Linked DNA regions of Saccharomyces cerevisiae S288C. The protein of the gene in region 1 binds, or shares a complex with, the protein of each later gene. Each region holds a gene or a part of one and is shown in the gene's direction. Other genes may lie near its edges.

Region 1 (3,441 bases):
AAACACCAAGGTCTCTTATGCCTTGACATAAAGAATACGGAATAGAATGATTGTAGACGCAACAAGATGAATAATTAATGGCAAATTATTATCCTATTAGATATAAATTACAGTCGCTTTAATGCGTGATTATAGAAAAGGTCCTTACAATATGCAGCCGGGTAAAGAGTGAAGTTTCCCGCCTCTGAAAAAGAGCAATACTAAAATAATCTGAAAAGAATTGGTGAAAAGAAAGCTGTAGTTATATATACAGAATGGGCATAGTTTTGAAAAGAGCAATAGCAGCAGGTATGAAACCTTTTCCAAACAGTACGTGGCATTGGAGCCGAACCATAAGACCTTTCTCACAGCATTTGTCTAGCACATGCTTTCTGCAGCAATCCTCGAGATTTACTTCAAAACGATACCTACACCTTTCAACATTAACACAACAAGAAAAGCGCTTCCTACCCGAATCTGAACTTGCTAAATATAAGGAATACTACCAGGGTTTGAAGAGCACTGTAAATGAAATACCTGAATCAGTGGCCTCTAAGTCACCTTCGTTAAGAACGCTTCATAAGAGATTACAATTACCTAATGAGTTGACCTATTCAACACTTTCCAGATGCTTAACGTGTCCCTCTGCAAAACTACCCGACAAGATAAATAATCCTACAAAAGGTGCAGCTTTCGTTAATACTGTACCTACTAATAAATACTTGGACAACCACGGTTTAAACATCATGGGAAAGAACTTGCTCTCTTACCACGTTACAAAATCCATTATACAGAAATATCCGAGACTACCCACTGTGGTTTTGAATGCTGCGGTTAACGCATATATATCAGAGGCGGTACTGGCGCACATTGCTAAATACTGGGGTATTGAAGTAGAAACTACGTCTGTTTTATCACGCTATTTGAAAATGGAACCATTCGAATTCACTTTGGGAAGACTCAAATTCTTTAATAATTCATTGAACTCTAAGGACGGTATTGAGCTAATCACCGGAAAGAACTTTTCAGAAACAAGCGCTCTTGCAATGAGCGTGAGGAGTATAATAGCTGCCATCTGGGCAGTAACGGAGCAAAAAGATTCTCAAGCTGTTTACAGATTTATTGATGATCATATAATGAGCAGGAAATTGGATATCACGAAAATGTTCCAGTTTGAACAACCTACAAGAGAATTGGCTATGCTATGTCGTAGAGAGGGGCTGGAGAAACCTGTATCGAAACTGGTCGCTGAGTCTGGTAGACTATCGAAATCACCTGTCTTTATTGTGCATGTATTTTCAGGCGAAGAGACATTAGGTGAAGGTTATGGTTCCTCATTAAAGGAGGCAAAAGCAAGAGCCGCTACTGATGCTTTGATGAAATGGTATTGCTACGAGCCTCTTGCTCAACAGGAACCAGTTATTGATCCTGGCACTGTTGTTGTTTAGTTCTGTGTTTGCCATTTTGTAGATAGAGAACTCCTTAACCAGAATACATTCTTGTACATATATATATACACGTTGGTACGATATGCGTTTACTTTATGTGTACTAAAATATATAAAAGTGAACAGAAGCATGTTCCTTGTTTACTACTATATCTTACCAGGAAACAGACAAAAAAAAAAAAGACTTGCTATATTTAAAGAGAACGCACATTTGTGAGGGGATAATAACACAAAGCAAAGTAATATAGGGTAAATGGACCTCCTAAAATTCAGTTCTCTAGCTATATCAGAAATTAACTTCCTGCACGAGTCATCGTTTGACTCGATAGACCACTCTTGGTTTTTATTGATAGGTTGCAAATTGGATCAAGATGATGAAATTTACATCCCAATAAATGGTAATGAAGCAGAGTCTCAATGGTATATTGAAAAAGTTATACGAATCCCGATGCAGGAAAATGATAAAATAAATCAAGAACGCCTAGAAAGGAGAATTAACCTAACAAAAGTGACTCAAAAGGACATTTGTATACTGGGTATTCTTGATTTATGTCAGTTAGAAGAGGACGAAAATATCACTAATAAAGTGACGGAGAAAGTGCTCACCCAATTGACCGCCTTGGCATTGAAATATCTGATAAAATATAACGTGTTTCGCCAACATACCTCCTTCCAAGAAGCTGTCAATAGTTTAAAGGGTTATAAAATTGAAAATAGTGTACAGATAGGCGCGGAAATTATCCTTGATTTTCTACAAGATAAAGTGCAAATTAAGGATGTAAATGACAGATACCAAATTCCCACACCTAATAATACCGTAGACCCAGGTTTTGATGAGTTTCAATTAATTGACATGAAGGATAAAGAAATCAATATTCAAAAATATAATAATAATACCATAAGAAAATTACTCGAGAAGATTAATCGAATGATAATATTCTTGAAAAATTATGATGCCACTGACAAGCCTTTCTCTTCCACGCAAGATGTAATACTTCGAAAAATATCAATGCTTGTAACACAACTGCAAAGAGGTGGAACAAGTGACATGAATTACCTGCTGGATAACAAAATTAATGAAATAAAATTATTAGAAATTTCGTGTAAACAATGGGAAATTTCAAATATGTTAAAAAAATAACTAGAATATATATATTACACAGAATTATTTTCTTCACTTCCTCCGTCATCAGATTAGTAGCTTCCTAATACCTGTCACAACTTCCCATTTATTCGTGTGTTTGTTGTATGTACAACCCAGCAGCTTTTTATTGGTAACGGGACAATGGCCTTCATTATTAACCAAATAGCTTATGGCACACGGGTAGCATGCCACGTATCCTGTTTCCAATACACAGGGGTTTTGTACAGTTTTTTCGCAAACGGGACAGGCCTCAGAAACTCCCTCTTTATCTTCCGTTTTGTCACTATGTGAGGAGAAAGGCGGCCTTGGAATATCTTCATCCAAGTCATTGACCCTTTTCTGCAATTTAGTAGTCATGTCTTGTGTGGTCCACCATTGGTACACTCTTAGGACAAATATAAAAGTGGGGAAGAATTGCGAACCCATAAATGTTAAAAATCTGGGTATAATCGATAATTGTCCTTGCATTAGCGCGAAAATTGACGATATATTTGTTTTCCTTAGCCTATTATCCATCCCTTTCGTCTCTTTGAGACCAGAGAGTTCTGACGATAGTGGTCTTACCGTTGTGTACTCTATCTTGAATAAGTATTGCAACAAGGAAACCGACCCTGTTCTTTTAGTTAAAAATAATAATTTAACGAGTAAATTGGATAACGCTAATAATTTCTTAATAAATGGATAAATTCTTAGAAACGCTCTCTTGGGCCATTTATTTTCAGTTTCATCGCTGCTGAATATATTATTCATTGATATTTTCTCTAATATTTCATCCAACTTCGCTGTGATATAGGGGAGAATAATTTTTTCCAAAAAAATAACACTCTTTTGCTGTTGATTCAGCTGCAAACCTTGGGGCCATTCACTCTGG
Region 2 (4,778 bases), on another chromosome or scaffold:
ACGAACAAGAATTTTCCTTCCAAAAAATATCTCCAATTGAACACAGAGGAAATGTACCACTTTGCTACTTCCGCCTTGGATTTGAATGGTTGAACGACCGGTTTAGTTCTTTCTCTAGCCAAAACTGAAGCACAAATGAGGCATGTTAAACAAATGAATGATAGGATTCTAATGGCCCATTGAAAGCCCACTTCTTTATATAACTTTCTCAGCATAATAGGGAAAACTATACCCCCTATTGAACCCCCCATGGTACTTATAGATGTTGCTATACCCCTTCTTTTTAAAAACCAGGTTGCAACAGTTCCTATCAGAGGAGTCATTAAAATTCCCGTCCCAAGTCCAGAGCACACAGAAAATGCCAAAATGAACTGCCATACGGACTTACAATTTGCCAATGCGAATAGTCCTCCAGCATATATGACTGTACCTGTGCACATCAAACCAATACTACCATTTCTATCAAAATAGCCACCGGATAATATACAGCTTAAAAAGCTGATAGCTAAGTATAGGGAAAAAATCCAAGATATTGTTGAAGAAGATATATTTGCCAATTGATGTTTAGAGATATATGATTCAATAGCCCCTAAGGAGTTGATTAAGCCAAAAACCGGGACCAGTCCCATAAACGCACCAAATACTACCAGCCATGCTTTTAACCCACCATCTGGGAACTCTCTGTCATCATCATAAATCAAAGAGGCCTCTGGGGTGTTTAAAACTCTTGAGGTGACGTTCGTTAACTTATTAACGTCAAGATCTACTTGATCGCTGTTCTTTTTCAAAATCGCGTCCGCTGCATTGAAGTTTGGATTATATCCTGAACTTGGGCCCTCCCTTGTCTCCAGCTCCACATCGTGATCTCTCGTAGATTGCGCTTCGTGATCCTTTGAGAACAGGAACCTCTTGGAGTTAGCAATTATGGGAATGTTCAACATCCTCCGTTTGTTAAGTTTATGAAAAGCTCTTTCAATATGGTTACAAATAAAACAGAATCAATACTTTCGAGGTTATTTGCCGTGTGCCAAGGAATATTTTCCTTCTCTGAAATAGGCCTTTTGTTATATTTTAGATTCGCCTGTGACTCTTTGCCATCTCGCCTGTTAATTACCGCTCATAGGCACGGCTGACTAATTTGAAGCTATCGAAATTGCTATAAAAGGAAAACTCTCTTATCATCAAGATCAGGCGGATCTCCTGAGTTTCTGACCTATAGAGCCCCAAAAAATGGGATGACATGTACATATATAGTGGTCAACGTTAATATGAGTGGCCTCCCAATGGTACAGATGAAAGAAAAATTTGTTTTTGGCTGTACGGAATTGCTTCGTATAGAAGAAGGTCTTATCTTTCATACGTGCTTTTATGTACTGGTTCTTGCATCCAATCATCCTTATTAGTGTTTTCGTGCGGTCAATATAGCTCATTATGGAGTCGTTTATAATAAATTGACTACCCGCTGGAGGTTTGAGTTTTTTCTTTCTAAAAGACATTCAAGATCATACGGGGGGTAGACAACTCAGCCGTTTCCGGTAGTTATAGTCCATCAAGTGTTACCATAATACGACTGTAAAATTAGCCAATTCCTCGATGTCAAACATCCATTTATATACTGAGAAAATCTTTTATAGATGCCGCTTTTACTGCGACTAGAATTTCATCTATCGCACAATAGAACGTTTTCTTCTAGGTTACTTGCTTTAGATAACTAATTCCTCGAAAGCAGTGACAGTGATCTTACACTTTCTGGATTTCATTATGGGAATGTCGAGTTTGAGATTCGAGTTTTATATGATGGCAACAAGATTGCACAAACTTACTTTCTTACCTTTTTCAAATTTGATCTCTTAATACACACTAAGTATATAATGAGTATAACATTTGTGCATGTATGAGAGTAGTGGCCCATATATGATAACACTGGCGAAAGTACTCTGTAGCTAAATGCCAGGTTGGCACGTTTTTCTCGTTTGCCCAAAGTGCAGCTCCTTTTCGAAGAAATTTATCTGGTCCTCGCTGAAAAATATTATAAGGGGAGCTGGATCAATTGTTTTGTGATCTCTTTGACTAAATGAACTATTGAAACGTTTGACGCGGTAAAAGGCAAAAAGGTTCACTATACACAAAATGTCTGATGAAGATAACAATTATGACGACTTCATGTTATCGGATGACGAAGGCATGGAGTCAATTGAAATGGAGGAAGAAACCGATGATGAAGACAAACAAAACATTGAAATAAATGAAGACAATAGTCAGGATGATCAAGATCGAGGAGCGGCACGACATAAGCAACATGAACAAGGCACCTTCGAGAAACATGACAGAGTAGAAGATATTTGTGAAAGAATCTTTGAGCAAGGCCAAGCTCTCAAAGAAGACGAACGATATAAAGAGGCTCGCGATTTATTTTTAAAGATATATTACAAGGAAGAATTTTCATCTGACGAAAGTATAGAAAGGCTCATGACATGGAAATTTAAATCACTTATTGAGATATTACGTTTAAGAGCCCTACAACTCTATTTTCAGAAAAACGGTGCACAGGATTTAGTTCTACAAATTTTAGAAGACACGGCAACTATGTCGGTTTTTTTACAAAGAATAGACTTTCAAATTGATGGAAATATATTTGAATTACTTTCTGATACTTTTGAGGTATTGGCACCCAAGTGGGAAAGAGTATTCTTGTTCGACATCGAGAAAGTTGATAGGGAAAATATGATCTGCAAAATTGATTTCCAAAAAAACTTCATGGATCAGTTTCAATGGATTTTAAGAAAGCCTGGCAAGGATTGTAAACTCCAAAATCTCCAGCGTATAATTAGAAAAAAGATATTTATTGCCGTTGTTTGGTATCAAAGGTTAACCATGGGGAATGTATTCACCCCGGAAATTTCTTCCCAAATAGAGATTCTTGTGAAAGATAATGAATGCTCTTCTTTTGAGGAAAATAATGATTTGGAAAGTGTATCTATGTTACTGCAGTATTACATATTGGAGTATATGAACACTGCACGAATAAACAATAGAAGGTTGTTTAAGAAGTGCATTGACTTTTTTGAAATGTTGATATCTAAGTCGCTTACTTTCTCACAAGAATCTGGACTGATGGTAATATTATATACCTCTAAGATTGTATTCATTTTAGACTCTGATTCAGAGAATGATTTATCCTTTGCGCTGATGAGATATTATGATCGGAAAGAAGAGCTAAAAAATATGTTCCTCTATATCTTGAAACACTTGGAAGAGATGGGAAAACTTCGGGAGAGGGATATTACCTCTTTGTTTCACAAGTTCATTCTTAGCGGCTTCATTTTCACGAGCATGATTCTAGAAGCAATTAGCACAGACAAGATTAATCCTTTTGGTTTCGAACAAGTGAAGATTGCGCTAGGCAGCCCTATTGTTAACGTATTAGAAGATGTCTACAGGTGCTTCGCACAACTGGAACTAAGACAGCTGAATGCAAGTATATCTCTTATTCCTGAATTGTCCGTAGTACTAAGTGGAATTATTCAAGATATTTACTATCTGGCGCAGACATTAAAGTTGTGGAGAAAAATTGCACGATTATACTCCTGTATCTCCATAAGTGACATTATAAGTATGCTGCAAATAAGTGATGACAATGAAATGACAAGAGATGATTTGCTAACAATTTTAATGAGGTCAATAATGAAAAATAGATCGGTTGTGTATTTTAAGTTAGATTTGACAAGTGATTTAGTCTATTTCGGAGACGAGAATAAAGTCATGCTACCGAGATGTTCTAAAGAAGAATTTCGTCTTATGATCTCTCCCAAGGATGAAGAAACCACTGAAAAGGCCAGGCTAATAGATTTTGAGTACGTTAACGATGTCGCGATTTATAATAACCCAACAAGAATAAGAACCAAATCCTCTAAAGAATTTTTCAATACATTAAGAAAATCTAGGGAAACTGTAAAATTACCGAGGGTAAGCAACCAGTCGAATGAAGATACTTTTCTACCATCGTATATGAAGTTTTCCAACAAGTACCTCGAGCTGTGCAAACTGGCCTCTAACAATCTGGAATAGAATGTCGATCAGGCACGTTCGTGTAAACATTACGATTTTGGAATTCCACTTACATAAGATAGCTTCTTTGTAAAAGCCGTTCGAAGATTTCGTTTATAGTGATGCTTTTTCTGGAGAGATTTAAGATAATAAGGATATGTGGAAGGAAATGAAAATGTACACCTACAAAGCGTTGATGGTATGGAAACTATCGACCATAGTTTGTTAAACAGGAAATATTTGCTTGAGGGTAAAGTGTTCTGATTCATTATACAAAGCCCCTTGCTTATAAGAAAAGAAACCAAATCAGAAAAGGAGATTATTTCAAGGTAGGCATCGAAATGGCAAGTAACCAGCACATAGGAGCTTCAAACCTAAATGAGAATGAGGCTATATTAACCAACCGCGTTGCTGAGCTGGAAAGGCGTATGTCGATGTTTGAGGGTATATTTCACGCGTTAAGTAACCGTCTCGATCTTCACTTTAAAAAATATGATGTAGTGGTAAACTCCCAACAGCAACAAATCAACGAACTGACCGCGTTTTTATCAACATTGCTGAATGACCAACAACGCCACGCTGAAATTCTCAGTGAAAAATTAAGCGGAACGTTGCATGGGGTGTCAGCTACGTCAATATCCTTAAGCCAAACTCTTGACCCACAAGGCTTCACTGATGGAACTACGGCACCAGGAGCTCCTAGGAATTATACTTCAGTGCCTATGAATAAT
Region 3 (3,943 bases), on another chromosome or scaffold:
ATCAATTGGCCTCTACTCAGCAACGTAAAAATAAGGATATTCCAGAGGGTGGCTCTAAAGGTGTCATCTTATTGAACCCAGGATTGGTAGAACATGACCAGACATTTGTCGCCTTTTCCCAATATGTGGATGCAATGATTGACATTCTAATCAACGATCCATTAAAGGAAAACTATGTCAACCTTTTACCAAAGGAGGAAATATTATTTTTTGGCCCAGATGAAGGAACTGCTGGTTTCGTGGATTGGGCAACTAACCATGCTCGTGTGAGGAACTGCCCATGGTGGAAATCATTTTTGACTGGAAAATCCCCATCTTTGGGTGGTATTCCCCATGACGAATATGGTATGACTTCTCTGGGTGTTCGTGCTTATGTTAATAAAATTTACGAAACTTTAAACTTGACAAATTCTACTGTTTACAAATTCCAAACTGGTGGTCCGGATGGTGATTTGGGATCCAATGAAATTCTTTTATCTTCGCCAAACGAATGTTATTTGGCAATTCTGGACGGTTCAGGTGTCCTGTGTGATCCTAAAGGTTTAGATAAAGATGAATTATGCCGCTTGGCACATGAAAGGAAAATGATTTCCGATTTCGACACTTCCAAATTATCAAACAACGGATTTTTTGTTTCTGTGGATGCAATGGATATCATGCTACCAAATGGTACAATTGTAGCTAACGGCACAACCTTCAGAAACACCTTTCATACTCAAATTTTCAAATTTGTGGATCATGTCGACATTTTTGTTCCATGCGGTGGTAGACCAAACTCAATTACTCTAAATAATCTACATTATTTTGTTGACGAAAAGACTGGGAAATGTAAAATTCCATATATTGTGGAGGGTGCCAATCTATTTATAACGCAACCTGCTAAAAATGCTTTGGAGGAACATGGCTGTATTCTGTTCAAAGATGCTTCTGCAAACAAAGGTGGTGTCACATCTTCATCAATGGAAGTGTTGGCCTCACTAGCGCTTAACGATAACGACTTCGTGCACAAATTTATTGGAGATGTTAGTGGTGAGAGGTCTGCGTTGTACAAGTCGTACGTTGTAGAAGTGCAGTCAAGAATTCAGAAAAATGCTGAATTAGAGTTTGGTCAGTTATGGAATTTGAATCAACTAAATGGAACCCACATTTCAGAAATTTCAAACCAATTGTCCTTCACTATAAACAAATTGAACGACGATCTAGTTGCTTCTCAAGAGTTGTGGCTCAATGATCTAAAATTAAGAAACTACCTATTGTTGGATAAAATAATTCCAAAAATTCTGATTGATGTTGCTGGGCCTCAGTCCGTATTGGAAAACATTCCAGAGAGCTATTTGAAAGTTCTTCTGTCGAGTTACTTATCAAGCACTTTTGTTTACCAGAACGGTATCGATGTTAACATTGGAAAATTCTTGGAATTTATTGGTGGGTTAAAAAGAGAAGCGGAGGCAAGTGCTTGAGCTTCAATAAAATTGTTTTGTATAAATTAGTTCTGCCGTCAGAAAAGAAAATTAAACATATGTGTATGTTCTTCTCAGCGTTTTATTGTGTACTAAGTAAAGTTGTTTATATGTCCATTATTTTTAATCTAAAAAAAGCATTTGATATTTTTTCCTTCGAGTTATCCATTATACTAGGCAGTTCTCCTCAGGGAGCCATGCTTCAGCTGAAACTTTAGGAAAGGCGCGCTACGCAGGAAGCGCTCTTATTAAAGGGTTTTTCAAATAAACTAAAAATGAATAACAACGATCGAAAATCAATAAAAACTGCAGGAGGCAGCATGTCACTTTCAAATAAGACTGTAAAGGAATTACGACAACTACTAAAGGAAAGGTACACCGTGGAAGATGAACTAACTGAATCTATAGCGCTATCAAGTATGCGATTCAAGCCGTCGCAAGAACCTGAATTTCATGCGCTAAGCCAATCTTCCTTGCTCAAAACTAAACTAAAACAACAAAGTAGTACAGATATTCCGAGTTACACCCACGTACTTATATCAAAATTATCATGTGAAAAGATCACCCATTATGCAGTTCGTGGAGGAAATATTGAAATCATGGGCATATTAATGGGGTTCACATTAAAAGATAATATTGTTGTAATGGATTGTTTCAATCTTCCCGTAGTAGGGACAGAAACTCGCGTAAATGCACAATTGGAGTCATACGAATATATGGTTCAATATATCGACGAGATGTATAATCATAATGACGGTGGTGATGGGCGAGATTACAAGGGCGCTAAACTGAATGTTGTTGGCTGGTTCCATTCACATCCTGGTTACGACTGTTGGTTAAGTAATATAGATATCCAAACCCAGGATTTGAACCAGAGATTCCAAGATCCATATGTCGCAATTGTGGTCGATCCCTTGAAAAGTCTGGAAGATAAAATTTTAAGAATGGGTGCATTTAGGACAATAGAAAGTAAAAGTGATGATAATAGTGCCACTTCATACTATGAACTAGAAACAATCATATTTGATTCAGAATTGAACCGAGCGCTATTTGAAACAAAGTTAAACTTACATTGCGTAATAGAGGATGATGAGTCAGAACAAATATCATTAAATAGATTGATCGATTCAATGAAGCAGTATAGCTATTTGATGGATTCCAAAAATGTTAGAACAAGGATTAAGTTGGCTACTACCAGTGAACGTGTTAGCAACGAAAATAAAAAAAACATTGACTATCAAAACCGTTCAACAAGGTCTCAGTTCTGCCTCAATACGCAAAGGGGGGATAGCACTGAAACAAGCTCCTTTGGAAGCATGTTTTCAGGTGATAATACTAGTGACGTAGATATGGAAGATAGAAACCTTACCGAGTTCGACAGTACTGACACTAGTCTGTGCATAAACGGCGAACCGAGCATTCATGTAAATCGCGTGGAAAGAAGCAGCAGGTCTACCGACAATTTTCACAATTCTAAAAAACGCATGAACAGCAATCAGGAAAGATGTCATGATGAGGGCAATGATATGTTACAGAGAAATGTCTTGGAGACAGATTATGCAAGAGCAAAAAATCGAATACTTGCGTCAAAGATAAAACAATATGAGCGGTTACGTTTTTACAAGGACACCTTTACATTATGAATTCCTAACGTTGCTCCAATGACGCTGCAATAGCTTATGTTTATCTGCAACGTACTTTTAATAGTTATTCCTTCTTGAATCTCTATAAGTATATCTATACCGGGTGACAATTTGATATTTTCGTACGCCGTTATGTGTTGGTTTTTGGTCTTACTGATAAAATGGCATCGAGCTTACAACTGAAGAGAAAGACGATGCATCAGTCAACTTAATTCTCTAATAAAACAGACAGCATTTCCTCGGATCCATTTCGTACATATAAAATCCGAAGCTTTTCAGGACAAAATACTATTTTTCTGTCACTACTAAACGGGATAGTACTAAACGGGATAGTAGAGATAGCTGCCAAATAAGATCAAGAAATTGTGATTTTAAATACTTTATACGAAGATGGTGTACACAGGATTTGGTTTGGAGCAGATAAGTCCAGCTCAAAAGAAACCTTATAATGAACTAACTCCGGAAGAACAGGGTGAACGGGGTGCTGAAATGATCATGAACTTCATGACTTCCTGTCCTGGAAAATCAGTTGTGAGTGGTGTAACAGGGTTTGCACTGGGTGGTGTTTTAGGCCTGTTCATGGCGTCAATGGCATATGATACACCTCTTCATACACCTACACCTGCAAATACAGCAGCAACTGCAACTGCGGGAAATATAGGTGTGGGTGGAATATCAAGAACAGTTCAGCAAATATCTGATTTACCTTTCCGGCAGCAAATGAAACTTCAATTTACCGATATGGGTAAAAAATCCTACTCTAGTGCTAAGAATTTTGGCTACATTGGTATGATATATGCTGGGGTGGAGTGTGTCATAGAGTCACTTAGAGCTAAAAAT
Region 4 (3,099 bases), on another chromosome or scaffold:
GCAAACCAATACACAAAAGAAAAATTGCTATAAGTGGAGCACTCGAATGTGACTTGTTGTTATCGAACTCTAAGCCTGAGCTAGAAAAAACTTTAGTTACTAAACTGCATCGTTCTTTTTCAGCCAGTGTTTTTTTTAAGCGAAGTGGCGGCAGTTTCGCGTTTAACATAAAAGCAATACCACTTTTACCTGTTCGGGCAAAAGGAATAGATATTTGCATATTTGGCAATGAATAGTGCTAATGATTAGGTCATAAAAGCTATTTGTTAACAATGTTCTTGCTTCCTAAGACCTTACTTCATAGTATAAAAATTGGTAATAATGCTACAAAGAGTGCTATTTCGGTAACATCAAATATTTGTCAACAATACTCTATACATCACGAAGTCTACGGCAACTGCGCAATAACACAGTCAATAATTCTATAAATTAGCAGTTTATTGCAATCCCTATTCTTCGATATGCAGATAATAAGATCCGCTATGTCAGACCTTTTGATAGCGAGGATATGATCAAGTTTATAAGTCATACAAACATCCCATAAATTGGAAATACACTCTTCTCTGAACTCTAGAAAAGCATCACCCACTGGTAATACTCTTGGTGGCCCCATCATATTGTCATTAGGAAACAAAGAATGTCGTAATAATGAGAATAAGTTGCCAATTGTCACAGGGCTGGTAATTTTAGTTTGAACAATATTGTCAAATGTTCTATACATGACCCTGTTTAACGCATTTAATTTAGAGATCCAATGCTGAAGCGTTCTGCATATTGAGAATAGGAATGGCTTCCTCATAGATAATTTGAAAAAATCATCGGTGAAAAAAGTAAAAATATATCTTTGTAGAAATGCTGTTTCTTGAATTTCGGCAGTGTTCATATTTGCTGCTTCTGTTGAAGTTGAATAAGCTAAAAGCCTGGTCATTTGCAATATTTTGTGCTTTACATTGGAAACAAACAACCAGGGATCGCATTTAGGCTTTCCATGAGTCACCTCGTTTCTGGTATTTCCTGCAGAATTTAGCTTTATTCTTATGCAAATTTTATTCAAGCCCTCCAGAAGATAATATGGTTCCGCTATTGAATTAAAAATATGCCCGAACACAAGTTCATTTAAAAAGCTATCCAAAAAGCTTCTCTGTAGTAGAGATTTGGTGCTCATTTTACTTTGTATGATTTCAGTGAATAGCATTGGATATCGTTTCGAATCATACAAAGTTAGCTTACAGTACTGTTCATAAACTAAATCGTTATTTTGAGATGAGTCATTTAATGCTTTCAAGTGAGACGAAAGCAAGCAGGGAATATAATCGAGTAAAAGGGCATGGTAATTGATTTTGGAACTCTTCAAATATGTTATTAAATCTTGAACTAAGTTATATAGTTCGGTTAAAAACTTGGAATCATCAGTGGGTATTTTGATACCATACCAAGACTTAACGAAATTTTGGAAAATTAAGGCAATAAAGGTATTTACCTGTAGGTCTGGCAAAGCTTCTATGCTTCTGATTTTCTGATGTAATGAATTTGGGTATATAGAGAAACATAAATCCCTTAGATACTCAACCGAATCTTTTTCAAATTCACTCTCAAACGAAACATCATTACCAGAATTTTTCGTATGACTACAATCTTTCTCCCAAATATCTCCACTCGATTTAGAATTCAGTCGTGTATGTCCTTTTTTTGACAGAAAGCCTTTATATTGATTTGAGGCATTTGGCCTTCGGTACTTGGTAATTAAACTGGAATTGGTGTTGTATAAAATGGTAGGCATCTACACATATAGAAATAAAGCCGTGCAGTATATATTGACTTCCCTGGCTCTTATCGCGTTTGCTTTTTCTTATATTATTGTTATCTTGCCTTTGGTTCGTTGTATCTTAGGGAATGCGAAAATTATTGAGCAACTCATCATCAACTTTTTTAATATGTATTTATATTACGGACAATAGTAAACAAAGAAATAAAAAACAATAACAGTGATGACCTACGTAGTACAGATAAGAGAGAATGGTAATGAGGGAAGAAACAATAAAATCGCTAGAAGATCCTTACAAATATCACTACAAAGAAGAATGGTTAAATACTAAAGATCCCGATGAACAACAATTATTCGAAATATTTGCCTTTGGAAACATTAAAGATCTACCGGAAAACATAATCCTAACATCATTAATGCGATCAAAACTGGAGAAATTAACATTGGTAACATTAAGCGAAATATATAATGAGTTAAGTTACGAGTTAATTAAAGAAGAATGTCAAATTGAAGACGATGGTATCATCGAAAGCCATTTAATTCAGCTACAGAATATTTTTAAAGCAGAGATGGATTCAGTCAGTAAATCTATGAAATTTTCAAGAAGATTTGACTGTAGAGATGTGTACTGTCATGAAAAGGAACTGACTATAATTAAAAATCCGCGAGTGACGAAAGAGTATTTAGTTCAAAATCTTCGGAGCTGGGAAACAAAGCTCAAACAGAATATATTGGAGTAAATCAAATATGAAAAAGGCATAATAATGACGATATTAGGAAGTAACAAATAAATAAAAGAAAAATAGAAGAATAAATAATAATAAATAAATACTAGTAAATATGGCAAAGGAATATACCGGCGGAAAACAAGGTAAAAGCAAAAGATAGGAGACACGTCGTTGCTATAGATGTGCATGTTACATGACCGAACAAATGATTCGTGGTGATTTATCTACTTCTTGGCTTCAATCTTTTGACTGTTGTCTTTCTCGGAAGAATCCCATAGACTTTTTACTAAACCAACAACACCATCATTCTCGGTTTCTAGTTTATAGATTCCAAAAAGGGAGACCGCAGAACCAAGGCCCAACATATACATGGCGTACTTGTGCCAAACACCATAAACTCTTTCAGAAATATAATCGGTGATACAAGAGTTAAATTCCATGTAACAATATCCCAAAAGCATGACAGAAAAGAAAGAATCAGCTGCAGTGGATAACGGACCGGTTGTCAGCATAGCCGTCGTAGCCAATGGAACGACGGACAAGGCAAAGATTTTTTCCATATACCAGTGGTATGAGCCCTCTAATTTATTCTCAGGGGGGGGGACG

Evidence for each region.
Region 2: CSI1 (region 1) and RRI2 share a complex: the UniProt entries of both Saccharomyces cerevisiae proteins name them as parts of the COP9 signalosome-like (CSN) complex.
Region 3: CSI1 (region 1) and RRI1 share a complex: the UniProt entries of both Saccharomyces cerevisiae proteins name them as parts of the COP9 signalosome-like (CSN) complex.
Region 4: CSI1 (region 1) and CSN9 share a complex: the UniProt entries of both Saccharomyces cerevisiae proteins name them as parts of the COP9 signalosome-like (CSN) complex.

Annotation. Positions count from the first base shown.
Region 1 is NC_001145.3:321,621-325,061, forward strand, and holds CSI1 (Csi1p), read left to right. Parts: upstream 1-1,679; coding exon 1,680-2,567; downstream 2,568-3,441. Other genes in the region: mitochondrial 54S ribosomal protein mL44 MRPL3, read left to right, coding at 255-1,427; PEX12 (ubiquitin-protein ligase peroxin 12), read right to left, coding at 2,616-3,441. UniProt on the Saccharomyces cerevisiae protein: Component of the COP9 signalosome (CSN) complex that acts as an regulator of the ubiquitin (Ubl) conjugation pathway by mediating the deneddylation of the cullin subunit of SCF-type E3 ubiquitin-protein ligase complexes The CSN complex is involved in the regulation of the mating pheromone response.
Region 2 is NC_001147.6:95,421-100,198, forward strand, and holds RRI2 (Rri2p), read left to right. Parts: upstream 1-2,130; coding exon 2,131-4,068; downstream 4,069-4,778. Other genes in the region: MCH4 (Mch4p), read right to left, coding at 1-941; YOL118C (uncharacterized protein), read right to left, coding at 1,188-1,496; MSN1 (Msn1p), read left to right, coding at 4,389-4,778. UniProt on the Saccharomyces cerevisiae protein: Component of the COP9 signalosome (CSN) complex that acts as an regulator of the ubiquitin (Ubl) conjugation pathway by mediating the deneddylation of the cullin subunit of SCF-type E3 ubiquitin-protein ligase complexes.
Region 3 is NC_001136.10:68,157-72,099, reverse strand, and holds RRI1 (COP9 signalosome catalytic subunit RRI1), read left to right. Parts: upstream 1-1,780; coding exon 1,781-3,103; downstream 3,104-3,943. Other genes in the region: GDH2 (glutamate dehydrogenase (NAD(+))), read left to right, coding at 1-1,460; translocation channel protein TIM22, read left to right, coding at 3,494-3,943. UniProt on the Saccharomyces cerevisiae protein: Catalytic component of the COP9 signalosome (CSN) complex that acts as an regulator of the ubiquitin (Ubl) conjugation pathway by mediating the deneddylation of the cullin subunit of SCF-type E3 ubiquitin-protein ligase complexes.
Region 4 is NC_001136.10:818,114-821,212, reverse strand, and holds CSN9 (Csn9p), read left to right. Parts: upstream 1-2,016; coding exon 2,017-2,505; downstream 2,506-3,099. Other genes in the region: NVJ3 (Nvj3p), read right to left, coding at 389-1,780; succinate dehydrogenase membrane anchor subunit SDH4, read right to left, coding at 2,718-3,099. UniProt on the Saccharomyces cerevisiae protein: Component of the COP9 signalosome (CSN) complex that acts as a regulator of the ubiquitin (Ubl) conjugation pathway by mediating the deneddylation of the cullin subunit of SCF-type E3 ubiquitin-protein ligase complexes.